Xenopus tropicalis: one gene and its partners. The protein of the gene in region 5 binds, or shares a complex with, the protein of the main gene of each other region. Links are inferred from orthologs where the notes say so. Each region holds a gene or a part of one and is shown on either strand. Other genes may lie near its edges. The genes, in order: tmem237, cc2d2a, tmem216, b9d2, tmem67, tmem17 and tctn1.

The links.
Region 1: tmem67 (region 5) and tmem237 share a complex: the UniProt entries of both Homo sapiens proteins name them as parts of the tectonic-like complex. The link is inferred for Xenopus tropicalis from reciprocal best matches to the Homo sapiens genes TMEM67 and TMEM237.
Region 2: tmem67 (region 5) and cc2d2a share a complex: the UniProt entries of both Homo sapiens proteins name them as parts of the tectonic-like complex. The link is inferred for Xenopus tropicalis from reciprocal best matches to the Homo sapiens genes TMEM67 and CC2D2A.
Region 3: tmem67 (region 5) and tmem216 share a complex: the UniProt entries of both Homo sapiens proteins name them as parts of the tectonic-like complex. The link is inferred for Xenopus tropicalis from reciprocal best matches to the Homo sapiens genes TMEM67 and TMEM216.
Region 4: tmem67 (region 5) and b9d2 share a complex: the UniProt entries of both Homo sapiens proteins name them as parts of the tectonic-like complex. The link is inferred for Xenopus tropicalis from reciprocal best matches to the Homo sapiens genes TMEM67 and B9D2.
Region 6: tmem67 (region 5) and tmem17 share a complex: the UniProt entries of both Homo sapiens proteins name them as parts of the tectonic-like complex. The link is inferred for Xenopus tropicalis from reciprocal best matches to the Homo sapiens genes TMEM67 and TMEM17.
Region 7: tmem67 (region 5) and tctn1 share a complex: the UniProt entries of both Homo sapiens proteins name them as parts of the tectonic-like complex. The link is inferred for Xenopus tropicalis from reciprocal best matches to the Homo sapiens genes TMEM67 and TCTN1.

Annotation. Positions count from the first base shown.
Region 1 is NC_030685.2:53,781,285-53,785,518, forward strand, and holds the start of tmem237 (transmembrane protein 237), read left to right. Parts: upstream 1-1,434; 5' UTR 1,435-1,485; coding exon 1,486-1,500; intron 1,501-1,510; exon of another isoform or gene 1,511-1,553; coding exon of another isoform or gene 1,554-1,592; intron 1,593-1,627; exon of another isoform or gene 1,628-1,917; coding exon of another isoform or gene 1,918-1,938; intron 1,939-4,234. UniProt on the Homo sapiens protein: Component of the transition zone in primary cilia. Required for ciliogenesis.
Region 2 is NC_030677.2:27,906,383-27,909,882, reverse strand, and holds part of cc2d2a (coiled-coil and C2 domain-containing protein 2A), read right to left. Parts: intron 3,206-3,500; coding exon 3,116-3,205; intron 1,575-3,115; coding exon 1,461-1,574; intron 846-1,460; coding exon 711-845; intron 1-710. UniProt on the Homo sapiens protein: Component of the tectonic-like complex, a complex localized at the transition zone of primary cilia and acting as a barrier that prevents diffusion of transmembrane proteins between the cilia and plasma membranes.
Region 3 is NC_030678.2:178,906,042-178,910,013, reverse strand, and holds the start of tmem216 (transmembrane protein 216), read right to left. Parts: upstream 2,801-3,972; 5' UTR 2,725-2,800; coding exon 2,712-2,724; intron 1,223-2,711; coding exon 1,206-1,222; intron 1-1,205. UniProt on the Homo sapiens protein: Part of the tectonic-like complex which is required for tissue-specific ciliogenesis and may regulate ciliary membrane composition.
Region 4 is NC_030684.2:79,325,656-79,329,629, forward strand, and holds the start of b9d2 (B9 domain-containing protein 2), read right to left. Parts: upstream 2,801-3,974; 5' UTR 2,730-2,800; coding exon 2,684-2,729; intron 1,915-2,683; coding exon 1,825-1,914; intron 1,105-1,824; coding exon 979-1,104; intron 803-978; coding exon 486-802; 3' UTR 1-485. UniProt on the Homo sapiens protein: Component of the tectonic-like complex, a complex localized at the transition zone of primary cilia and acting as a barrier that prevents diffusion of transmembrane proteins between the cilia and plasma membranes.
Region 5 is NC_030682.2:127,764,419-127,767,823, reverse strand, and holds the end of tmem67 (meckelin), read right to left. Parts: intron 3,083-3,405; coding exon 2,940-3,082; intron 2,273-2,939; coding exon 2,192-2,272; 3' UTR 501-2,191; downstream 1-500. UniProt on the Homo sapiens protein: Required for ciliary structure and function. Part of the tectonic-like complex which is required for tissue-specific ciliogenesis and may regulate ciliary membrane composition.
Region 6 is NC_030677.2:166,777,927-166,780,428, reverse strand, and holds the end of tmem17 (transmembrane protein 17B), read right to left. Parts: intron 1,639-2,502; coding exon 1,315-1,638; 3' UTR 504-1,314; downstream 1-503. Other genes in the region: complex III assembly factor LYRM7, read left to right, coding at 433-503. UniProt on the Homo sapiens protein: Transmembrane component of the tectonic-like complex, a complex localized at the transition zone of primary cilia and acting as a barrier that prevents diffusion of transmembrane proteins between the cilia and plasma membranes.
Region 7 is NC_030677.2:162,883,889-162,887,922, forward strand, and holds the start of tctn1 (tectonic-1 precursor), read left to right. Parts: upstream 1-1,234; 5' UTR 1,235-1,277; coding exon 1,278-1,542; intron 1,543-2,008; coding exon 2,009-2,338; intron 2,339-4,034. UniProt on the Homo sapiens protein: Component of the tectonic-like complex, a complex localized at the transition zone of primary cilia and acting as a barrier that prevents diffusion of transmembrane proteins between the cilia and plasma membranes.

The DNA of each region.
Region 1 (4,234 bases), on a different chromosome or scaffold from region 5:
ACAACCTCGCTTCCCTTACTGTGAAGAACCATTTGTGCTACTGTAGGTGAATTTCAGTTTCTCAAGTCTAAAAGGAGGCCTTTGGTTGTTTCCAATTATTCAATTGTTCCATTGCTTTTACCAATTTAGTTGCACCTCTCTGTATTATTTCCAGCTCATTAGTTCTTCTAACTGGTGCCAAAAAAAGCACTGCAGTCTTAAGCTAAGGCCTTACCAGCCATTAAGTATCATTATTAACTAGTGTTTATAAAACGTTAGTATATTCAGTTGTGCTGTACAAAAAAAAAAAAACTGCCAAGACTGGTCCATTATTTTAAATGTACCTGTAATTCCAGTAAATGTGTAATATGCTGGTGATATAAGGAATAATGTACCTCCCCCCTTGTTGTAAAATATGAGAATATTAGATTCACACTGGCAACCTGTAGATTCTGAAAATGCCAGAGGGGCTGCTATAAGCAGAGCTGTCAACTTTTGACGGGTGCAGTCCGTGGGGGGCTGCAATTTTTTGTTCCCAAAACGTGGAAATAACGTCACATGTGCGACAGACTTCTGGAAGTGACATCACACACATGCACAAAATCCCCGGCGAAGCCAAAAAATTCTACCTGCACACATGCATCAAATGATGTCACCAAACAATTACTGTACATGCACGCCCAGTATTCGCCACCGGACTTCGGTATATTTGGGCAGAATCAGGAGAATATTGGGGGATGGCTGGGGGGACAAGGCGAATAGGAGACCAGGAGAGAGCCACCACAATCTGGTTACTCCAGAACAAATGGGAGGATTGATAGCTTTGTGTAAGATGGTCACTATTTTTGTGGGCTGGTGGGGGTTGTTTGGGCCTCTGTGTATTGGAAATTCCCAGGCCAGAGTTCCATGACCCATATAAAAGCATAAGGCCAGCCTGTGCTACTGTACATGACAAATCTCCCCAAAATGACTTGCCTTAACATATTACTTGCAGCCATTAAGTTTATGCAAATAGAGGCAATTTCCCCTCTCTTTGGGCGGTCCATCAGTCCGATCCCGATACTATGGCAAGCCAATTCTGGGAGATTTGTCGCCCGTGGTTGTGCAGATTGAACCATTGGAGACAAATATCAACTTGCACCATTACCCCAACCCTAGCTGCTAAGGAAAGAACTGTGATAGCAATTACGCAAACATACAGCTTTACAGAAACAAATATTTAATAATAAGGCTGCCGCACGCCCTCACTTCCTCACCCCAAGCCACTCGGCCCCTCCCTTAGTGCTACAAACGCATGCGCACTTCAAAGCTAGAGCTCAGTGAAAGGCAGTGAATCAGAGCTACTTGGCTTTTTAAACGCGCCCCTTCCAGTCTGGCAGCCAATAAAGAGATAGCATTCTGTGTTTCCATGGAAACTCTTCGGTAGCCTTCCCTGCTCCAGAAACATTCTTTTGCCCGACCTCAGGGAGCATGGAGCTTATCCATTAAGCACATATATGTCCTAAAATGGACAGCGTAAAAGTAAGTTCTGCCTGTGTAACACTACATTCTTGTTTGCATAAACTTTTCAGGGAATGAGGGACTCTGCACATGTAAGCATCACTGATGATGAGGTTGGTGAAAATGGCCGCCAGCTGAAAGCTGCTCTTTGTTTTAAATATGAAAATATGTTTGCTTTGGCAAAGGTGGGGGGGATATATATGCAGTTAAAATGGTATGGTTCGGTAGGGAAATGTGCCTACATGTAGGAAAATAAAGGGTTTAGGGATTAATTCACGTGGGCGTATAAAAGCACTGACCTGTAGCTGAAGGGCAGAAGGTTCTAACCTTTGTAATCCCAGAGTTTATCTACAGATTATTTTTGTGTAAGGAATAAGAGGATCTATGTGTTGTGTAAAGGAACTGCCTAGTATCTGCCTGTATGTGCACTGACTTTTGATGATGGGGAAGAAGCAAGTGGTAAGTACCTTAATGCTTTAGGAAAGGAATGTTATTTGGCAGATGAGAACCTTATAGAACATTCTTACTATCTGATGGATGCAAGCCTTCATAATTTCATGTGAATTTGATATTAAGTTAGTGATTTTTATGTGATTGTACCAGTTCATTGTTACCATCTAATTTATAAATAGAAATGTACTATAAAGTTCAATATAAGAATACTGATTTTTATTAAAGCAGTAAAGTTCATATTCAGTTATTTATTGATGTTATTTAACTTTAACTCTCTGTTTAATGTAGACATTGATATTGTAAGATTGGTAATTGTGGCAGTTGGTTTTCATTTTTATTTGTACAGCAGCTCTCCATCTTGGAATTTCAGCAGCTATGTGGTTGCTAGGGTTTTATTTACCTTAGCAACCAGACAGGGGTTTGAATGAGAGCCTTGAATATGAATCAGTGGCATAACTACACTGCACTGGGCCACCCTGTAAAAAAAAGAAACTTCAAAGGGCCCAGCGCAGAGTAGCAAACGCACCAGGCCCCCTGCCCTGGTGCGTCCCCCCCACCCCCTTGAATATAAGTTAGGGATGCGCCGAACCCACTTTTTTGGGTTCCCCCAAACCCACCCTGACGGATTCTGCCGAATCCTAATTAGCATATACTAATTAGAAGGGGGGCCTGAACAGAAAGATATGGAATAAAAAGTAACCACAATAAAAAAGATGTAAGAGATGTAAAGGCCAATTTATTTTTGGCTGCAGGGATCAGTGACCCCTATTTGACAGCTGGAAAGATGTAAAAGAGGAAGGCAAATAAGTAAAATAATAATAATAATGAAGACCAAATGCAAAGTTGCCAAGAATAGTATGTTCTGTAAAATACTAAGGGGCACATTTACTAACCCACGAACGGGTCGAAATGAGTCCGATTGCGTTTTTTTCGTAAAGATCGGTATTTTGCGATTTTTTCGTATTTTTTGCGATTTTTTCGGCGTCTTTACGAATTTTTCGTTACCAATACGATTTTTGCGTAAAAACGCGAGTTTTTCGTAGCCTTTACGAAAGTTGCGTAAAATCTTGCGCTTTTTCCGTAGCGTTAAAACTTACGCGAAAAGTTGCGCCTTTTTCGTAGCGGTAAAACTTAAAAGGTGCGAAGTTTCGCGTAAGTTTTAACGCTACAAAAAAAGCGCAACTTTTTGCACAAGTTTTAACGCTACGGAAAAATCGCAAGATTTTACGCAACTTTCGTAAAGGCTACGAAAAACTCGCGTTTTTACGCAAAAATCGTATTGGTAACGAAAAATTCGTAAAGACGCCGAAAAAATCGCAAAACATACGAAAAAGTCGCAAAATGTTCGTTTTCAAGTCGGAACTTTTCCAATTCGGGTCGGATTCGTGGGTTAGTAAATCAGCCCCTAAAAGTTAACTTAAAGGTGAACTACCACTTAGGGTCACACAGGCCTTTTTTACCCAGAGGGAATTTTTCATCTCTTTCAGTTTGGCCCCATCTAAAAATTCACTCTAACAAATCTTATTGGCCAAATATATAATAAAAGGGACAAAGTTTGCCAGGATGACCTGTAAATGCTGATTGGTTGATTAAACTAGTAGCAAACTTTGAGTGTTTTATTACATTTCCCATTGTTTTTCACAAAGTACATCAAAGAATTACTTTTTCCAAAATATTTCTGGTTTTATTTTTTAACGTTTTTAGTGTTTTCTGAAAATTGCATTTCTTGCATGACTTCCCTGCCATAACATCTAACATCTGCTAACAATTTAAATATTAAATAAACCCAATAGAATTGTTCTGGCACCAATGTGGATTCATGCAACTCGGTTATGATCAAGTACAAGGTACTGTTATATTATTAAAGAGAAAAAGAAATTCATTTTTAAAAAAATTAATTATTTGATTATAATGGACTCTTTGGGAGATGACCTTCCTGCTATTTGGAGCTTTTTGGATAACTGATTTCTGGATAACGTGTCCTATACCTGTATTTGCTCATTGAACTCACTGAGAGAGTGACAGATTTTAAAAAAAAACTTCTAGGAGGGTGGTCAGTAGGGCTGCTTCCTTGGCTTTGCAGAGTTTAAGGCTGATGGCACATGGGACATTTGGTTATCCACGTGGTGACAACATGTCTGAAAAAATCTTGGATAATTAGTTGGAAGAAACCAACCAACTAATTAGGCGATCCTAAAAATTCCCTGGTGTTTTCATAGCAGCTAGATTTTTATCACATATGTTAAACTTCTCCTGAAATTCTGGAAAATTCTGTTAGCTTTTTGCAGAATTGTTGAAATGA
Region 2 (3,500 bases), on a different chromosome or scaffold from region 5:
AATCTCCCCGAAATGCTATCCCACCGGCGAAAATGTAAATCGCCGGTTGGATAGCATACGCGGTGGTTGCCTTGAGAGGCAGTACACCTTGCGTATGCCATCCCGCAGGTGATTTACATTTTCGACGGTGGGATGGCATTTCGGGGAGATTAGTCACCCGCGAACAGGGAGATTTGTCCCGGGCGACTAATCTCCCCGTGTGCCAGAGCCCTAACAGGATGTTCACTTTCTTTATCTGTATGGTGTAGGCATTTATATTCAAGACAATCTGCAGCTGGTTTTTATGTTATCCCTGTTGTGCATTTTTAATTATTTAGCATTTTGTTCAGCAGCTCTCTAGTTTGGAATTTAGCAGCTACCTTGTTGCTAGGTCTAGTGGACCCTGGCAACCAGGCAGTGGTTTAAACGAGTCTCAGAAATATGAATAGGATGGGGCCTGAATAGAAAGGAATAGAAAGTAATAACAAGAATACAGGGAGAAACTATGTAGCCTTACAGAGCAACAGCTTTTAAGCTGCCGGGGTCTGTGACCTCCCTACCTGACAGATGAAAAATGAAGAAAAATGAAGACCAATTAAAAAGATTCTAAGAATAGGGCATTCTATAAATGTTACCAATCAGGGTGTCACACCCATCAGGCATTCCAAAATGGCAGCTGACAGACTATGGCAGGCAATAGAAAACACAAGCCCAAGGATCTAGGTACTTACATTATCAGCATTAATCAGACACCCAACACTTTGTAGTGGGCAAAATGTGTCATACTGGCCATAAAACCTTCCAGTGCTCGGGTTCCATATGATGTACTGGTTCTGTTCCAATGTCAGCACATATGTAGTTGGTCCCTAAAATAAATGAATAGAATCATCTCTTAGGACATTCAGGGAGCTGGCAGCATAGCTATATAAACTGGGAAGAACAAAGAAATGGAGGATTTCACAATCACTATCCAGCATATACCCAGGTCACTAAGTGGCAATGCCCCCATGAGATATACTATGGGGCATAATGGTTCTGTTAATCTGGGCTTTACGTTATCACTTATTCATATTTCCCAAAATTCTCGGCAGAGGAGCCCCCTAGGAATATCGCAACTTACATTCCCATAGTTCAAAAGTGATTGGCTCCTTAAGTGATTATAGGGCTAATTGCTCAAACACAGCTGCCCAAGTTTCTCAGTGGTATGTCCCTTTGGAAGCTGAACCCTTGGGCCTGGTTCCATAGGAGGCCAGTGATCACCTATCTGAGCACAATTAGATGCCAGCAGAACCGTGCCCATCTAAGGAAGCAGATAAAGCCAGAAATCAATTGCTAGGCTCCGGTTAGAGTGCTAAACAGGCACAAACACCTAATTGTCTCCTTGTTACAGAACATAACACTGCTGTTTCTGCGCCAGAGGAGGGCCCAACCCATACAGCACAGAGTGAAACCAATTGCATGGCGGAAGGACTGGCTCTCACCTCAGGGACTGCGTTTCCGATCAGGAGCCATGCCTTCTTCCCCATGGCCAGAAAGTAATTGCACAACAGGACAGCGTGTTCCTCTTCGTCCCCAGCCAGGAGATCAAGGAATTGCTGAATAAAAGAAAGGGACACAGTAAGAGATATGAGCAGCACATTCTGTGCAAGGCTAGCCTGGATACAGCGGCTACACACCATTACATTATCATGGGAATACAAGTCAGTTAGTGGCCAGGTATTATGCCCCAAATGTCTAAAAGCACCCAATAAGATTCCTCTCTTTCCATAAATGTGACTGGCTACTATCGTTATACTAGCATATCATCCAACATTCACCATTGAAAAATGGTTTAAGGCTATGCTACAAAACTAACCATGCACGCCCAATCTGCTAAATCCCTGCCTAGGTTACTAAACACAGCTTGAGTTTTTGGAAAAGTAAAGATAATTTAAACTAACTTCACAATATACATCAATTAAAAACTATGCAGTCTTTTCATGACTTTTAATATAATGATATGCTTTGGAACAGTTCCCTAAGCCCCACCCCCTGTTCCCCTGCTGATCTGGCTGACTATTTTGAGACTCAAATAAAATGTAACAGTAGTCGCCTCCCCTCAGCCTGCCTTCAGCCTGCATCCTCCCAATCCCACAATTCCCTACAAATGTGATGTCAGTAAAAGAAGGAACATCCCAGTGCAATGCATTGTGGGTTATGTAGTTCCGGCATGCTGTCTCTAAGCTGCAGAGAAGTTGTTACAATTTGTAACATCAATGTTTTAGTCCCTTCTCCCCTGCCAGGATTTAAAATGATGCAGAAAGAGAAAACTGCAGCTGGATTTCAGCATATAAAAATTATATTTAATCATAATCTTTGGCAGAACAGATTACAGTGATAGTTATATTAGGGGTTTCTGTGTTGTGTGGGGCTCTTTGGTTGGGAATCCAGAGTTCCCCTTTAAGCCTGATCTCTTAAAGCCATTAACAAAAAGGTAATATTTCCATATAGATTGTAAGCTCTACGGGGCAGGGACCTCCATCTTTTTGTGTCTTTGACTATTAATTATATATTGTATTTATCTTTATTTATTGTTATACTTTGTATTTATCTATTATTATCTTAATAACCCCGTTTGTATAAATGTATTCTACTGTACAGCTCTGCGTACATAAGTAGCGCTTTATAAATAAAGATATACACTTAGATTGTAAGCTCCATGGGGTAGGGACCTCCTTCCTACTGTTTCTCATACCACATGGCACTTATATATATATATATATATATATATTTATTGTATTTATTTATTATAACACTTGGCCTCCCTTTGTGTAATTGTGTATATTGTAAGATTGTACAGTGCTGCGTACCCTTGTGGCGCTTTATAAATAAAGTTATACATACATACATACATACATACATAAATAAATACAGAAACCTGATATTTTTATCTGTAATGTCTGTAACTAACCAGCAGGTGGAACCTGTGTCCCACCAGTGTCCTCAGCATTCTCATTTTCATTGCTATCTGAGTTTCTTAAAGGCATACTATCATGACTTTGACCTTGAAGTATCTTGGTGAACAGGCAGCCATCTCAGTTCATCACACACACAGGTAGGGGACAGCCATAACAGGGCGGGGCAGGTCGTTACTTACATCTGCTGTACTCCATAGGTTGCAGATTCCAGCAAACGATACATTGTCTGGCAGGAATGGGATAAGAGAAACATAGTGCGCCACCAATTCCTGAGGGGAGAAAACAGAAAACTGAAATGAGTTTAATAAAATCTGTGCACGGGACAAACGGTTTCTATAAACGCTAATGATGTACAACCTGTGCCTTACTGGATTAAACAGCAAATTGGAACGAGACTGAACAGATCTGGTAAAAACAGATCCAACCCTAATGGGGTTATGTTACAAAAGGTTCAAAGCTTGTTCTAGGTCTAATCACCTATAGCAAAAAATCAGCAGCTAGCATTTACTGATCACCCGGGCCCAAACTGGTCACCTCGGCCCAAGACCTGATGCAACACACGAA
Region 3 (3,972 bases), on a different chromosome or scaffold from region 5:
ATCCCACTCTGAGTATCACTCATGTATTATAGGGATACTGTACCCCCTACTGTAAATGATAAGGATATTAGCAGTCACTGAGGGGTTCTGTGCCCCCCATATAAAGGCACAAGGCTGCAGGCTGAGTTATACAGGGAACTCTGAGTATCACTCATGTATTATAAGGGATACTGTACCCCCTACTGTAAATGATAAGGATATTAGCAGTCACTGAGGGGTTCTGTGCCCCCCATATAAAGGCACAAGGCTGCAGGCTGAGTTATACAGGGAACTCTGAGTATCACTCATGTATTATAGGGATACTGTACCCCCTACTGTAAATGATAAGGATATTAGCAGTCACTGAGGGGTTCTGTGCCCCCCATATAAAGGCACAAGGCTGCAGGCTGAGTTATACAGGGAACTCTGAGTATCACTCATGTATTATAAGGGATAATGTACCCCCTACTGTAAATGATAAGGATATTAGCAGTCACTGAGGGGTTCTGTGCCCCCCATATAAAGGCACAAGGCTGCAGGCTGAGTTATACAGGGAACTCTGAGTATCACTCATGTATTATAAGGGATAATGTACCCCCTACTGTAAATGATAAGGATATTAGCAGTCACTGAGGGGTTCTGTGCCCCCCATATAAAGGCACAAGGCTGCAGGCTGAGTTATACAGGGAACTCTGAGTATCACTCATGTATTATAAGGGATAATGTACCCCCTACTGTAAATGATAAGGATATTAGCAGTCACTGAGGGGTTCTGTGCCCATATAAAGGCACAAGGCTGCAGGCTGAGTTATACAGGGAACTCTGAGTATCACTCATGTATTATAAGGGATAATGTACCCCCTACTGTAAATGATAAGGATATTAGCAGTCACTGAGGGGTTCTGTGCCCCCCATATAAAGGCACAAGGCTGCAGGCTGAGTTATACAGGGAACTCTGAGTATCACTCATGTATTATAAGGGATAATGTACCCCCTACTGTAAATGATAAGGATATTAGCAGTCACTGAGGGGTTCTGTGCCCCCCATATAAAGGCACAAGGCTGCAGGCTGAGTTATACAGGGAACTCTGAGTATCACTCATGTATTATAAGGGGTAATGTACCCCCATGAATTGTTAAAGGAATATAAGAAGCAGTGGGCGGGGCCAGGCTATACCTGTACAGGTGACTTGGTACCGTCTCACCTATGTAAGTGCCAAGGATACAACTCCGCGCCTTCTCCCTGGGAAGCAAACGCACAGTTAGGGGGCAGCACAAGTCACATGATACCAAGCAGAAGACCCAGTGGGGGCCGGGGGCCCCTCCCAGCACTCAGAGCAGCCATGTTTGGTCTCCCCCTGTAGGTGCCCATAATATACCCACATACCTGCCCGTAATATACCCACCCGCCTGCCCGTAATATATCCACCCGCCTGCCCGTAATATACCCACCCGCCTGCCCGTAATATTCCCACCCGCCTGCCCGTAATATACCCACCTGCCTGCCCGTAATATACCCACCTGCCCGTAATATACCCACCTGCCTGCCCATAATATACCCACCCGCCTGCCCGTAATATTCCCACCCGCCTGCCCGTAATATACCCACCCGCCTGCCCATAATATACCCACCCGCCTGCCCGTAATATTCCCACCCGCCTGCCCGTAATATACCCACCCGCCTGCCCATAATATACCCACATACCTGCCCGTAATATACCCACCCGCCTGCCCGTAATATACCCACCCGCCTGCCCGTAATATACCCACCCGCCTGCCCTCAATATACCCACCCGCCTGCCCGTAATATACCCACCGCTGCCCGTAATATTCCCACCCCCTGCCCGTAATATTACCCACCCGCCTGCCCGTAATATACCCACCCGCCTGCCCGTAATATACCCCAACCCGCCTGCCCGTAATATACCCACATACCTGCCCGTAATATACCCACCCGCCTGCCCGTAATATACCCACCCGCCTGCCCGTAATATACCCACCTGCCTGCCCGTAATATACCCACATACCTGCCCGTAATATACCCACCCGCCTGCCCGTAATATACCCACCCGCCTGCCCGTAATATACCCACATACCTGCCCGTAATATACCAACCCGCCTGCCCGTAATATACCCACCCGCCTGCCCGTAATATACCCACCCGCCTGCCGTAATATACCCACATACCTGCCCGTAATATACCCACCCGCCTGCCCGTAATATTCCCACCCGCCTGCCCGTAATATACCCACCCGCCTGCCCGTAATATACCCACCCGCCTGCCCGTAATATACCCACATACCTGCCCGTAATATACCCACCCGCCTGCCCGTAATATACCCACCTGCCCATAATATACCCACCTGCCCATAATATACCCACTTACCTGCCCATAATATACCCACCTGCCCATAATATACCCACCTGCCCGGGGAATGTGCGCTATTGTGGGTAACAGGGAGAAGTCGCTGCTTCTCTGGGGATGCCGGGAATTGTGGTCTAACAGCCCCCCCCCCCCCCCCCCAGTTGTAGTTGCACACTAGCGGTGCGGGTCCCTATGCAGCAGGTAAGGGGACAGCGTAGCGGCATCGGGTGCAGGGGATGCTGGGAGTTGTAGTCCCGCTGATCAGCTGCACCTCTTGCATAGGGGACACAGTAGCCCCACGCTTACAGGCGCCATTACAGGGAGCAGGGGGGCCGCTCTTCCATCCGCTGCTTCGCCTCCCGCTTACCTTTGGGCGCCATCTTGCTGCTCTAAGGACGCCTGTGACGTCACTCCCTGGAAACCTCCGCAACACGTGACCCCCTGAGCCGCCTGTGCGCCGCGGGGTCCTAGCGCCTTCCCCCCTAACATTCAGGGCCACTAAATAACTGGGACTGGCTGGGCTTCTGGGAACTGTTCAATGGAGAGTGTACCTGCAGCCAAATTAGATTGCTAGCTCCTCTGCCCAGGGAGACAGTAGGGCAAGATGGAGACAGTAGGGCAAGATGGGGACAGTAGGGCAAGATGGGGACAGTAGGGCAAGATGGGGACAGTAGGGCAAGATGGAGACAGTAGGGCAAGATGGGGACAGTAGGGCAAGATGGGGACAGTAGGGCAAGATGGGGACAGTAGGGCAAGATGGAGACAGTAGGGCAAGATGGGGACAGTAGGGCAAGATGGAGACAGTAGGGCAAGATGGAGACAGTAGGGCAAGATGGAGACAGTAGGGCAAGATGGAGACAACCCTTTATAACACTGAAGAGGTTATTCCAAACACAAGAGGCAGTATGAGCACTAATGACTGCACGGGGGGCAGTAGAGGAGCGAGGGTGGGAGAGTTGGGGGCCGATGCTGCTGTCTCTCAGTAGTGATGCGCAGTCGTTATTAATTGGGGCTGAGATGCGAGACCCTCGCTTCAAGAGCCGGATGTTCCCACCCACGGTTTCCTCGTCTCACTGCTACTCACCTAATTATGTTACTCACAGTTACTTCATTATAGAACCCATAGCCCAATAAAGGGTCAACTTCCCCTTTATATTTACTTTTAGTAACACATGGGCGGAGTTACAGGTCACTGATCCCCACCGTGATCCCCACCCTTTTCCCACCCTGTTTCCTTCTTGATCCCCACCTTGATCCCCACCCTGATCCCCACCCTTTTCCCACCCTGATCCCACCATTTTCCCACCCTGATCCCCACCCTTTTCCCACCCTGTTTCCTTCTTGATCCCCACCTTGATCCTCACCCTGATCCCACCCTTTTCCCACCCTGATCCCCACCTTGATCCCACCCTGATCCCACCCTTTTTCCACCCTGATCCCACCATTTTCCCACCCTGATCCCCACCCTTTTCCCACCCTGTTTCCTTCTTGATCCCCACCTTGATCCCCACCTTGATCCCACCCTGATCCCACCCTTTTTCCACCCTGATCCCCACCCTTTTCCCACCCTGATCCCCACCCTTTTCCCACCCTGATCCCCACCCTTTTCCCACCCTGTTTCCTTCTTG
Region 4 (3,974 bases), on a different chromosome or scaffold from region 5:
ACTGATTTAAGATAATCGTCAAAAGAGCCTGAAAAGTATTTAAAAACAAAAACATTCAATTTACTTTATATATAAATGTATTCTGGTAAGTGATTGATGTGAATGAGGTATTATGAAAATGAAAGGAGAGAAAGGGAGTGTGCTTTATAACAGGGCTGAAAACAAAGCAAGGATAGTAAAAAAGTGATACAATGAGGAAAATGGCTAATATCAGAAGTAACAGACAATTTGGGAAAGTGTAAGAGATGTTAGTAGAAGGGGAGGAGGATAAATGTTACCAGATTATGGTACAGAAGAGATATGAAGTATCAGGTTTATTAAGAAGGGTTGAGAAAAGGGGCTCATTAAATACTGAGCAGGATTCTGTTTGAGGTGTTCACAAGTAATTCCATAAAATGTCTTGCTGATTATTTCAGTGCATATGTCCTTGGCACCAAAAATAATCATTTGGAAAACCAGGAACAAGTTCTTAGCACTCTGCAAAATCAAGAACACTCCACCCCGTATCGTTCAAAGTTCCTGAGTATGACCGTTAATTGGAGATGTACTTGCCCCATGGCCACTGTTTGCAGACGGTAGCGATCAGACCCTCCATAAATCAGGCTGGATGACTTAAGTTGTGGGCCGCCGCCAACAAACATCTGACATATTTGCTCCTGCCATGTTCCCAGGGGTCGCCAGGTTGGGCTAAGCAATGAGTGAGTACCAGGGGTGGAAGGGATGTGGAGGAAGCTGTAACCATAAAGTTCATTACGACCAAATGTGTCCTGATGCCAGACTTGAAGGTGAAGTTTTGGCCAACCTAAGTGGGGGAAATACAAGCATTTAAAGTACATAATGTACTTTGCACCTTTGGTAGGTAAAGTGTGTTCATTTGAATGGGTAGGGTTAGGGTTGGGAGCCTGTGCAGGGGCTCCAATGTGATTACAATAATTTTAACAGATTCTTTATTTTATTCTTTATTCTATCATACTTTACCTTGTAATCCTTTAGTAGCAAAGTGCATGTCAATAGGGTGAGACCAGAATGCCATGTCATCATTTTGTGGATGATCTACTTGTGTCTGGCCTTCCACAACCCCAGAAAGTAGCTTCCAGGCTCCACCTAAATGTTATGGTAGGGAACGATGTTATTACAAATAGAAATATCATATGGTTAATAATAGATAGAGCCACACCAGTATCTTATATATCAAGATTTTCTCAAAACATTAACATTTCCTTTAAGACTCTTTTATATTGTTTATGTAAAGTAAAGCCAAAAATGGGCTTTAAGTTATACAAACACAGCCTTCTCCTTCACTTCACATTACTAGAATAAATACAGGGGTCACCTGACGCATATATTTCTTCTTCACATCACAAACTTAAAAATATATTACAGGTATAGGACCCATTATTCAGAATGCTCGGGACCAAGGGTAATTTGGATCTCCATAGCTTAAATCTACTAAAGAATCAATAAAACATTAATTAAACCCTATGGGATTGTTTTGCATCCAATAAGGATTATTTATATCTTAGTTGGGATCAATTACAAGGTATTGTTTTATTACTACAGCGAAAAAGGAAATCTGTTTTAAAATTCTGAATTATTTGATTAAAATGGAGTCTATGGGAGACGGGCATTCCATAATTCAGAACTTTCTGGATAACGGGTTTCCGTATAAGGAATCCCATACCTGTACTAGAATAAAAGTGGGGCCAACTGAATGCATATACCACATTTTCAACAGCGTACAGCTCCACAAAAAAACAAAACTGTGTTTTTTTTATGTACAATTGATATATAGATCCATTTAAAATGCAAAATGATGACTCTTACCTGTGTGTACTCCCCATTTGCAAAACAGGCTGTGTTGGGGGAAGCCACTAGCCCCAATAATTTGCCCTATGATGTGAACCTCTGCCATTACTGTAGGAGGAAAGGTAAAATATATTTCAGTTACATCATTATTGTGAAGAAACTAAATTATAATTTTTATTAGAAGTAGGTCCAACAAACAATAACAGCTAGAAATTACACTTCTTATACCATCTGACGCCAATATAAATATACAAGCCTCAGTGACCAAGTTTTCCTTTTTTTCTTGGCTGTGTGTGCAAAAACTTTCTTTTGTGCCTACTTCCTAAACCTATTTGAGCACTTTTATAAAAACTATGCGCAAGTCTAAAAAAATTCTAAATTATGCCTTTACATACAAAATTCTTTTTGCGCACCACAATTTATTACAGTAAAACTTTATTTTTCATCCCTTACTTAGGTTTTTTTATTTTGTGGTCCCTCCAAAATATAATGATTAATACATTTCAAGGATATGACATCCCCCATTATTTTCTAGTGGCCTCAATAATGTAAAAGGGCGGTTCTAATGCATGTGCCCTGACATCGTAATTTAAATATCCACAAATGCATAGCTTAGAAGGAACATTAGTATTACATATACATTTTATTTATTACCTACTTTTAGCGCAGTGTTATTACTACGTATATTATTAGTATATGTAGCTAACCCCCAGCAATAAGCCCTGTAAGACGTGGCATGTCATAACCAAACTGTTCATTACACATCCAATAAAACCAATTTGAAAGCATAATTTTATTTGTCATTACCGCATAGTGTATTACATATGTAACTAACCAGGTCAATGACCAACATCAAGCAAAAAAAACCTACTTATACCTGCACAAGTTGGGCTGTAATGTAATTCATGAGTGTGGCTATTCATGTACAGTGAATTTCATAACTACATAGAACACTGACAGTGAAGGCACTATAGAATCAACAAATAGAATCCCTAAACTGAGGGCCCTACAGCTTACACTTACAGAATCAGCCAAGAGCCTCTGTTTGTCAACTATCAGCTGCTGGAAAACGTAATACCCCCATTACACTCCCTACACTGGCGCCATTGTGTGTGCTATGAGCATATAAATTACTGACGATACATATTTGGATGATGGTGCAAAATCATCAGGACTCCATACCGACAACCTGCGAATCATATCTACCTTTGCGTATATAACACCGCAGTAGGGTAAGATGTAAGCGCTTTACCAGTTTATTAGCTCTAAATATTTTTCGCCCTCTTTTACATCCCGCTATAAATGCTTCCCCTAACCGCACAACTGCAACATAAATCTCACCGGACCCCCTCTGAAAACCGGCTCCTTGTCTTAGCTTTTTGCCCCTTCTAATTCTCACTTTGGTAGACTCCGCCTGTTGCTGTGCAACCGTTGCATACAGCAGATCTGATTGGTTCACCGGCGGAAGTGACGTCTGTTGTAGGCGAAATGTGTAAACTGATCGAGACTGATAGTCTGTGGGAGACGAAGTATTGGGATTAAACGATAGCTATTAATACTGCAATCTGTGATTTATAATACAACATAGTGTAATGGAACGTTGCTTAAACAGATATAGGGCGTCGTGTCGTGTCGGGTTCTGAGGCATTACGTATACAAGAGACATATTAGCGTCCATTTAAAGTTCAGCAAGTTAGTGGCTGAGGGGGGTGTAATGAGAATTAGCATGGCCATGCTGAAAATGCGTTTGTCTGCTCCCACTTTGTAGTCACACCCCCAAATGTAAAGCCTTTAAACCAAAAAGAACCCAGCTTTTAAAATGCTGGAAACTTTGAATGGCAGCGTCAGACGAAACGCATTCACTTTTATGACAGACATAGTGGCCAAAATATTTAATTACATTTTAAAAGAAGTAGGGAGATACTTGGATACATGAACGCAGAAGAATTTATTTAGGATATCCCTATCTGAAAAGGTGTCGTTGATCCAATTCATGCAAGAAATACATTAGTATTTTTGTTATAAAAGATTGCTAAAGCTGCTTTACTGCAAGACAAGCTGGTAATGAGCCAATTTTTGCGGAACATATGCTGTTATTTTAGTGTCTTTAAAAGATCCTGTCTGTTGCTTCACAAGATAACTGTTTGCCCCATTTTACCCCTTTCTCA
Region 5 (3,405 bases):
CCTTTAAATATATCATAGACTGGCACCTCCTGACTTGGTTGTGATTATCGGGAAAGTATCTCCTGACCAAAGCACTGGTCTCACAAGCTTATCCAGTATATACCATAGCAGCTAATAGATTGTAAGCTCTTCAGGGTGGGAATTGTATTCCAAATGTGAACTAAAACTCCTAGCAGTTAAGTATTTATTTTCACTAATTTATAATAACTATATATATATATATATATATATATATATAACACTATATAAATATATATATAGCCCTGTCTGTGTTTATACTTTGTAAAGTGCTGCATACACACGTGGCCCTATATAAATACAGTACAATAGTGTACAACCCCGCCCTGTACTGGCAAATCATTTCTTTGCTTTGCTCTTCCTTCAACAAGACAACTGCCCTGAGCTTTTATAATAAAAAAAAAAAACAGTTGGTGCTGGTTTCTTCCATTCCCAACACATTTTCTCCACATTTCATGTAGAAGAAGAAGCCACACAACAGGTATCTGTACAAAATATTTAATTCACTTGAAAATACAAATGCATAAATACAAAATAATCTTGGCAGGAGAGGGTTTTATCAGATCAGTTTAAACTTCAGGGACACATCTAATAAATACATGTTGCAGGGCATTTTAATTAAACTGCAATTAGTTCTACCCTGCCAGCTGGATTTTCCAGAGTGCTCTTGAATTTTCAAGTGGCCTGGTCATCCTAGCTCAGAACGCCAATGTCCGACAATGTACATAATCTTGTAAATGCACTGAAGGAACTGCGGTGGCACCAGGCAGCAGAACAATAAAGTTATTAGTTTAAAGTTACTAAACTACATGAATTGTATCTTTCTGCCTTTCTGTGAATCTGTGCAAGTGGCCGCTGTAATCAATTGGTTGGCCCATAAAAGTATGTGGTGATGCACCACAGTTGATTACAGCAAGATATACAATAATAAAGTTTGCCTTTTTATATGTTTATAAAATCAAGTATACTGACAAGCCATGTCAGGTCTTACAAAGACTCTATGCTCCATGCCTATGGATATAGGATCACTAGATTAACCACCAGATGATCACAGCCTGATTAACCCCATATTATCCTGGAAAGGGAGGCAATTTTAGGATTTTAAACTAGTATGGGGCACTGTGGTATAACAAAGTAAACTGAACCTGTACTTCTATTGCCTATAGAAAGTATCCTTTCAGCTGTCATTCTGTTCTCTTTAGTCATTCCCAAATGGAATATAAAGGATGGCAGGCTGCAGGCACGGAGCCAGTAAATGACAGAGATCATTTAGATTATGGAACTTTATGGTATGTCTGTGGAAGGAAAGGAAAACAGATATTGGGACAAACACAAACTGAAAACTGAGCTTTAGGTTGAAAAATGCAATATCTCTGATTGGATCACAGCACTAAGTGTAATGCCTGCAGGCCATAATGTCCCGCATTGGAGCCTGCATAGGGGATGTGCAGCACTGAGCCCATGTAACACTGCTACTATGACTGAATACGTTATGTTTCAGTTCCGGTTAATACTCCTTTAAATGAATACGTCTGTGAGACAATGCCGTCTGTGTTTTAAGTACAGAAATATACAAAGTAAAAACAAGAAATATTTACAGGTCATTTTTCTACTCAGTAAGGGATATCCTGCCCCCTACAGTGTTATCTGAAGTGGTGTCCATTATTATTATAAAACTAGGCTGCAGCTCTCTAGCTGCTATGGTGAAACGACAACTTCTAAAACACCCAGGCAGCATTTAAGAACATCTTAAAATACTACACATACTGGGGCTAATTTACCAACACAGATTCTAACTTGCCCCGGTGCAGTAATCAACAGAAACAATGTTCTAATCAATCTACAAGTTTTATAAAATGCAGCAAATATCTGACTGGTTGCCACTGGTGAGTCCTACTGTGCCACAGCTGTAGACCTTGCCACCATGTTGGCTTACTATACATGCTGTCTCACACCTGCAGCACTTTAATAGACCTTCTTTACTGTCCCATTATAACCCATTAGGCCCAAAGGTGTAACTCATGTTCAGACCCCTTGCAAACAAGGCTCAGCATACCCACTCTTTGTACTGTGGCTGGAGTTAAAGATTGATACAAAAATACTTTAAATTCATATAATGTAAAAATACTGTCTTTGGAATGTCCCAGTCCAGCTGCTGATACACATTTTTTTCTCATATCAGGAACCTTTCATCAATCTGGGTTTTAGAGGCCAAGTTCTTCTTCCCCACTGCATTACAGAGCAGCCTGAATAACTGAATCAAAGGGAAAAACAAATAAGATTATGATAAAGGGATATTTAACGAGTTAACACACATGCCGATCCTAAAAAAACACAAAGTTTCCAACATGATAAATAAGCAAACATCTTTGTATTGCAGCATTTTACAAGCATTGCAGTAAAAAGAAAGGTGCACATATGTGTTAAAGGAGTTGTGCTTTTTGTTTTTTTGAGACAATTTGCAATTGGTACTTGATCCTAATTAAGATATAATGAATCCTTACTGGAGGCATAACAATACTGTTGGGTTTATTTAATGTTTGAATGATATTAATAGACTGAAGGTATTACAAAAATATCCCTTATGCAGAAAACCCCAGGTCCCAAGCATTCCCATACCTGTACTAAGATCATTGTTGGATAGGGCCCTTTGCCTGTGAGATCAGATGTGTTTTCAAACAGCTGACCAGTAAATGCAACCTGCTGTCTGGTTGCTATGGATTATTAGACAGTAGCAAACTTTGCACCTTTTATTACATAACTTAATTATAGGCTGAAATGTTCAAGTGAACCAATAGCCGCAGATTTGATATTTGTCTAAAATCCTGTAATGCACTCTATGCTGCTGTGTACCAGGTAGTTATGAACAATATGGGTAACAGTGTATCTCCCCGGCAGCTGCTGCAGTGACACCGACGTACCTCTTGCTGTAGGAATGTGAGGATGGCAGCCAGAACAAAGTTTTGTGAAGCAACGTCAACAACGCAGAAGAATAGGGTATCAAATATGAGGAGAGTAGATTCATTTCCATAAAAAAGAACATCAGTGAATGAATGATTCTCATCTGTGGAACAAAAATACAGAGTTGTACCTGAGTAAGGTTAGTAACAGGCAACTATACCAATCAGTTGCTTTTGTCTAGGGATTTTTGTCTCCCCATTACGATCCACCCTAGCTCCTTCCCCCCTTTTCTACTATTGTACCCTTTTTTTTTTTCTATCTCATTTCAGCTCTTTTCCCCATCCATTTATGCCCCTTATTCATCTGTGGCTCCTCTGCCCAAGTTCCACCAACTCCAGGGGCCTGGATGAGTTCTTGAACAAACATAGTATCCAAGGCTATTGTGATACTAATATCTACAGTTAGTATTGATGTTGGTATATATGG
Region 6 (2,502 bases), on a different chromosome or scaffold from region 5:
TTGCCTTTTTATATAAGTTACAAGGTCTACAAGCACTTCCAGCTACATTATATTTACTGAATTATACAAATGTCATGAATATCTATGAGAAACATAACCATCTACCTGCACAAGCCAGTCTCATATGGCACAAATAAGCTGAAAGATATAAATGAAATTATGTACTACAGTGTATTCAAATAAACATATGGCAGTGTAAAAAAGGCTGCAAAACTGGCCATTAAATCCAAACTTTATAAACCTTACTGTTAAGGCAGATATAGGTAAAAGGTTTAAAGGTTTCTCAAGGAGGGAGGAGGTATTTGGCAGAATATACAGTGGGACAATAGCTAGTTCTGGCAGTTTTGTTGCTCAGGGCTGATGAATTGTATTCAATTGTCTATGGTTGCATAATGCTCTGTGTCTTCACCTATCTTTATCTTTTTATTTCAGTGCTGCAAGCAAGGAAAGACCTTCTTTTAGATAATATACCATTTTGTGATGCACCGGAGAAGCAAACATGATTATATTTTTTTTTTATTGCAACAATATTGTACTCACCAAAAGTGGAAGGACATTTTCAAATAAAAGAAATGTGCCTGCATACTTGTGCAGCTAAATATGGCTTCTCATTCCATCATTTTGACCTTATTACCATGTCACAGAGAGTTTTTGTGTTAATATGAAAATAAATTTGTGGGGTTTTTTTTGTTAAACCTTGTTTTATCTTTATTGCCAATTGTATTGGCTTTTCATTTGGAAAACCTGTAAGCATATTTTATCTCCAGAGGCCAAAATTACTGTTGCCTCGCTGTAGGAATATGGTTTGCCTTTCTATGCTGTATTGTGGCTAAACTGAACCTGTGGTTGATGGTTTTTTTTTCTTTCGTGCTTATTAAACCCTAGTGTATCCTCACCTCCTTCTGCAATAGCTGTCCCACCCTTGGTTTGTTTACTTGCATAACTTAGCCTTAAGTGATTGGGGTTCCCTCCAAGTGGTGTGCTTGTGGCTAATCAGAACTTGTGGCTAATCAGAACTTGTGGCTAATCAGGTTTTTTTTCTCTCTCTCCCTCAACAAATCTCTAATTTCAGCCATTCTCTCCCTCTGTTATGTTTTGTCTTACACTTCCTTTTCTTTGTTTATCTGTTGCACTTTTTCTGGTTCCCTCTCTTTTTTGTCATTTTTGTCTTCATATCTCCATATTTTTCTGTGTACCAAATCCCTCCTCTGTGTTTAGCCTTTTCAAGTGCAAAGAACTCTGTAATTAGGAAATACAGATATTCAGCCTTAATTCCTGCTGGTTTGAAAACCAGAAACAGAATTTGCTTATACCTTAGTACATTAATGCATCACTCCCATATTGTTCTGCTATGCTGGTGGTGGTGTTCTGGAACCTTAGAAGAGTTCTATTAACTGGGACATGTTTGCTGACCAGAATCTCAGACTGTTGTAAGTAATATTCAAGAGCAAACTGTCTTGTCATGGTTTTAAGAACCAGGAAGGAAATTACTATCTCTGCATTAATAAACATCAGATAAATCATGTGAACTGCAAGATCCAAGGGCAAAAGTAAATTTCTGTTATCAGTCAAAAGGAATAAGAGCAGAGGCAACTGTATTAAAAGGGTCAGGATCAAAAAGCCAGCCAGTTCTGGAACCTGTCAAAAGACATAAAGTGCACTGTGATTAGTTTGTGACATGGTTTTCACATTGAAATTTGTTTCTTCTACTGTATTTAGTATCTGTGTTCTATAGCAAGGGTCCCCAAACTGTGATTAGTTATTTAGAAGCCCATATTTGGACTGGCAGCCTTCAGGAGGCTCTAAGCCAGAAATTAAAAAATAACTACCTGCTTTGAGACCACTGGGAGCAACATCCAAGGGATTGGTGAGCAACATGGTGCTCCTGAGCCACTGGTTGGGAATCACTGTTCTACAGGATCTTTTAAATGCCTTGTCATGGATAAATCAGAATCACAGGGCTTATGTTATGTGTGAGTAACTATCACCTAAAAATGTTTACATTACCTAGCAAACCTAGTAAATCTGGTGGTGGAGCTGGGGGTGATGAGGGGTTGAAAGTCGATGATGGATGGATGTGAGGTCACGCTCAGCCGTGCACGTGATGTCACTTCCGCCAGCTGGGGGGGAGGTCATTGTCTAGGGCCTAGGTAGGGTGGCAATGGACCTAAATACAGTGCTGACAATATGCTGAATGTATTTTTATTACATAGCCTATTTATTCTGCTCATGCTTAACAAAGGTGTACTACCCATTAGTTAAGGAGTTAATATTCAGTAGGAAAATATAGGGGTCTTTCACAATAGTATGGGCAGTGTGGAAGATTTATTGCGTGTGGCTAATTGCTTCCCCTTTGAATGCAGAGAAGACTGTGGTCGGCAGTGCTATTTTAGTGGGAGAGTGGCACTACACTGGACTGGGTTTCAAAATAGGCCCTAGTAGTTCAAGTACACAGAGGCCCAAACAGCCCCCACTAGCACAATAAATACTAACTGTAGTAAA
Region 7 (4,034 bases), on a different chromosome or scaffold from region 5:
TCCTGCACTTAGTAAATCCTGTATCCTTTTTTGTTATAGCTCTGCCTACATGTATGATGTTATTCTCCTTCATTATACAAGTTTATAACAGAATATGCAAAGCAGTCAGTTAAGCCAGTAGGGTGATAATAATGCACTCCGTTGCACTCACACACTCTTCCCTGCAGTCAGTTGTGCATTAATCTCCACTTGCAGCAAAATGTGTTCTTTGCACTTCTGTGTAATTGGCTCGGCACCACTTGGCCTTTCCTGTCTTCCTTTCTAAATAGAGCACTGCTGCAACTAATGACACGGGAACCCTGGTTTCAGGCTTCCCTTCATGCCCAGCCGCAATAAGCGCAGCACACTTGCACCTCCAGATTCGGTCACAGTGGTCACTTGAATGCGGCAGACACTGGAAATTATGCCAGCTGGACTTCAGCTCAACTGCAGCCAATTTGCAATAAAATGCACACACATTTGCATTAATTTTGCTGAATCTAATGCAATTGCGTAATCACAATAGTTTTCCAAAAAATCTCCTTCCATTATACTGAATTTAAATGTCCACAGGAGTTGTTTACTTTTAAGTTAACTTTTATTATGTAATAGAATGGCCAGTTCTAATCAGCTTTTCGTTTGGTCTTCATTTTTTTTATATTTTATAGTTTTTAATTATTTGCCTCTGTCTTATAACTTTTTCCAACTCGAATGGGGGTCACTGACCCCAGCAGCCAAAAGCCTATTGCTCACTTATCATGCTATTCAGGGGTCTCTCCTATTTATCCTGGGGTAATTTGGACCCTAGCAACCAGATGCAGAAATTCCAAACAGGATTGCTGCTGAACAAAGAGCTAAGTAATTGAAAAACAAAGACCAATAGCAATTTTTCTCCGAAAATCACTCTCTACACCATACTGAAAGTTATTTTATAGGTAACCAACCCATTCAAATGACATCTCTGTGCATCATTGCTCTAGTGGTACATGTATTCCGTGCTGGCAACAGCAACAGAGATATCGTTTCCCTCATTGGTAATATGAAGCATATCATACTATATATAGTAATATAATAACATGGGTGTCCAGCATGAACCCCAAAGAAAACCAGGCAACGCAAATCACTACACTGCGAGAAGGCAATTTCCCTTAAAACCTAAGTTGCGAATCTTTCCGCTCCCAGGGTCTGGTCCATATGATTAATAGACAATACGTCACTTCCTGGATCCCGCAAGTCGCTAGGGTTGTTTACAGCAACTGTAGGCAGGCTGCCGCTATGTAAGCCTTTATGTATCCGCCATGAATTCCCTATGGAGCTGCAGCTTTGCGCTCTTTTGTTGTTGCGTGGTTTTGGGGACTTGCAGCCTCGCTACCGAGAGCCCTAAGGAGACTGCCCGCACCGAACCAACTGAGACCCAGGCCTGGGACAGTACGGGGGGTCCTCTGCTTCCTGACCATGTGACAGACAACCAGACCTCTGAGGGCAAAGCGGAGTCTCACTATAATGATAGCGATACCTTACCTGTGGCTACAAATACACCTGAGCCTCTGAGCCCAACCAAGAGTAGGTAGCATGGGGGGTTGGCTGCCTAAGCCTGGTTAAAGGGAATCACAAACTCTTTACCACTTATTGTATTGTTTAAATGTCATTTTTGTTAATGGAAAAAGGCAGTAGTCTAGTAGGAATGTACTAAATCCATATCAAAACCTGAGCCAAATCAGAACTCTAATTTGTATGAATATACGTTCAACCCATTATTACATGTTGCAAGGTTGTTTTTTTTTGACAATGGAAAAATGAAAAAATGTTTTACTCATATCAAATAGCTATATGTATATAAGTTCAGCCCTGCTTAAATTTTTCCTCTAGTTGTCTGTTTCAAAGTTACTTCAAAATATTCTCCTAGCTGCTACTGTTGGTTCAGTAATATTCATCCAGCATTTGGGGTTACCAGGTTATAGTTCTACATATTTGTGTGAGTAGGGCTATCAGCCTAATGTGACTGCTATTTTTGTCTTGCTTTATTAAGTTAACAGGGTGGTTTGTGTTTGTGACCTGCTGGTTGCCCACTGTGATGACAACTGTTGCTGCGATCCTGACTGCAATGCTGCAGATATTCGTGGATGCCTGGCCAATGAAATGCCTGCAGAGACAGCCTATACAGAACCACCTGAAATCCAGGTGTTGGAGGGTGCAGAGGAAGACGTCCCACCTGAAAACAACACAGACCATAGAGGAGTTGAGGATTCAGAAGTCATTGATATTGGAGTCATAGCTTCTCCAGGGGATGAGTTAACAAGAAGCTTTGGTTCTGCTGACCAACCTGGTGCTCGAGTTCTTCCCTCTCCAGTCACCAACAGTAAGTATAAATGAAAATCTTCATAGAAGTAAGTAACATGATGCACTACTGCGTCTGGCAATGCCCATTTAATTGATCCATTTCTCTAGTGATGGGAGCATTAAAACTACTTTCTATCATTACTGTAAATAATTGAAAATGTTAAAGCTTTTAAAGAGAACTAAACCCTACCCTATTCTCAGCCCCCTCCACCCCCTCCATTGCCCCCCTTCAAGCTACCTCCCCACAAGAGTTATTCTGTTAAGTTTTTCAGTGATTTCTTATTGCTAGGGTATTATTTACTCTAATAACCAGTCAGTGGTTTGACTAGGAGACTGGAAGATGAATAGGATAGGACCCGTTATCCAAAAAGCACCAAATTATGGGAAGGCTACCTCCCATAGACTCTATTTTAATCAAAAAAATTCAAATTTTTAAAAATAATTTCCTTTTCTCTGTAATAATCAAACAGTACCTTGTACTTGATCCCAACTAAGATATTAAAAGGGGTGTTTGCCTATGATATAGAGAGTAATATTCTGAGACAATTTGCAATTCATTTTTTATTATTTGTAGTTTTTTAGTTATTTCACTTTTTGTTCAGCAGCTCTACAGTTTGGAGTTTCAGCAGCTATCTGGTTGCTAGGGTCCAAATTACCTTTAACATACAAAACGTTTACTAAATAGTCAACCAACCCTTTACTAATCCTTACTGGAGTCAAAACAATTTTATTGGGTTTATGTAATGTTTAAATGATTTTTAGTAGACTTAAGGTATGGAGATCCAAATTATGGAAACACCCCTTATCCAGAAAAGCCCAGGTTCCGAGCATTCTGGTTGACAGGCCCATTCCTTTGTAAAGAACATTAATAAAAAGTAATAATAACAATAAAATAGTAAATTTGCAGAGCAATCATTTTAGGCTGCTGGGTTCAGTGACCCCCATTTGAAAGACTGCACGTATTTGCATGCAGATATTTGTATAGACTATCCACTTCAGCGTGAGTATAACTAAGATTAATCTTCTTTCTGAGTTAGAGTAAAGTAATTTTCCACAGAGGGATTTCAGGTGCCACCAGCCAATAAGTAGTCAGGAGGGACTGCACACACACGCAGTTCAGCATAAATCATTATAATGCTCAATCACCGTCTATACTCGAGTATAAGCCAATCCGAATATAAGCCGAGGTACCTAATTTTACCTAAGAAAACTGGAAAAACGTATTGACTCGAGTATAAGCCTAGGGAATGCAGCAGCTACTGTTAAGTTTTATCAAAATAAATACCAATAAAATTACATTAAATGAGGCATCAGTGGGGTATATGTTTTTAAATATTTATTTCAAATAAAAACTGTAAATTAGCTCTGTAAGTGGAGGGTCAACAAAAACAATTGTTTTATCAACAATGATACCTTAAGAGTACTCAGCAACCAAGCTAAAACACAAAGAGTTAAAATCCTTCAAAACTATATATAGTTTATATAGAATATAAAGTGAAATGTCTAGTGCAGAATGGGACAGGTAAGGATGGTAGATGAAGATAAATTTGGGAGCGGGCCACAAAGGACAGAGGGTGCTAGTTTGGAGGGACCCATGGCACCCGACTCGAGTATAAGCCGAGGGTGACTTTTTGAGCACATTTTTGGTGCTGAAAAACTAGGCTTCCAGTGTTTCCTCTCAGATTTTTTGAAAGGGCCATTGGTGTGGTGTCATT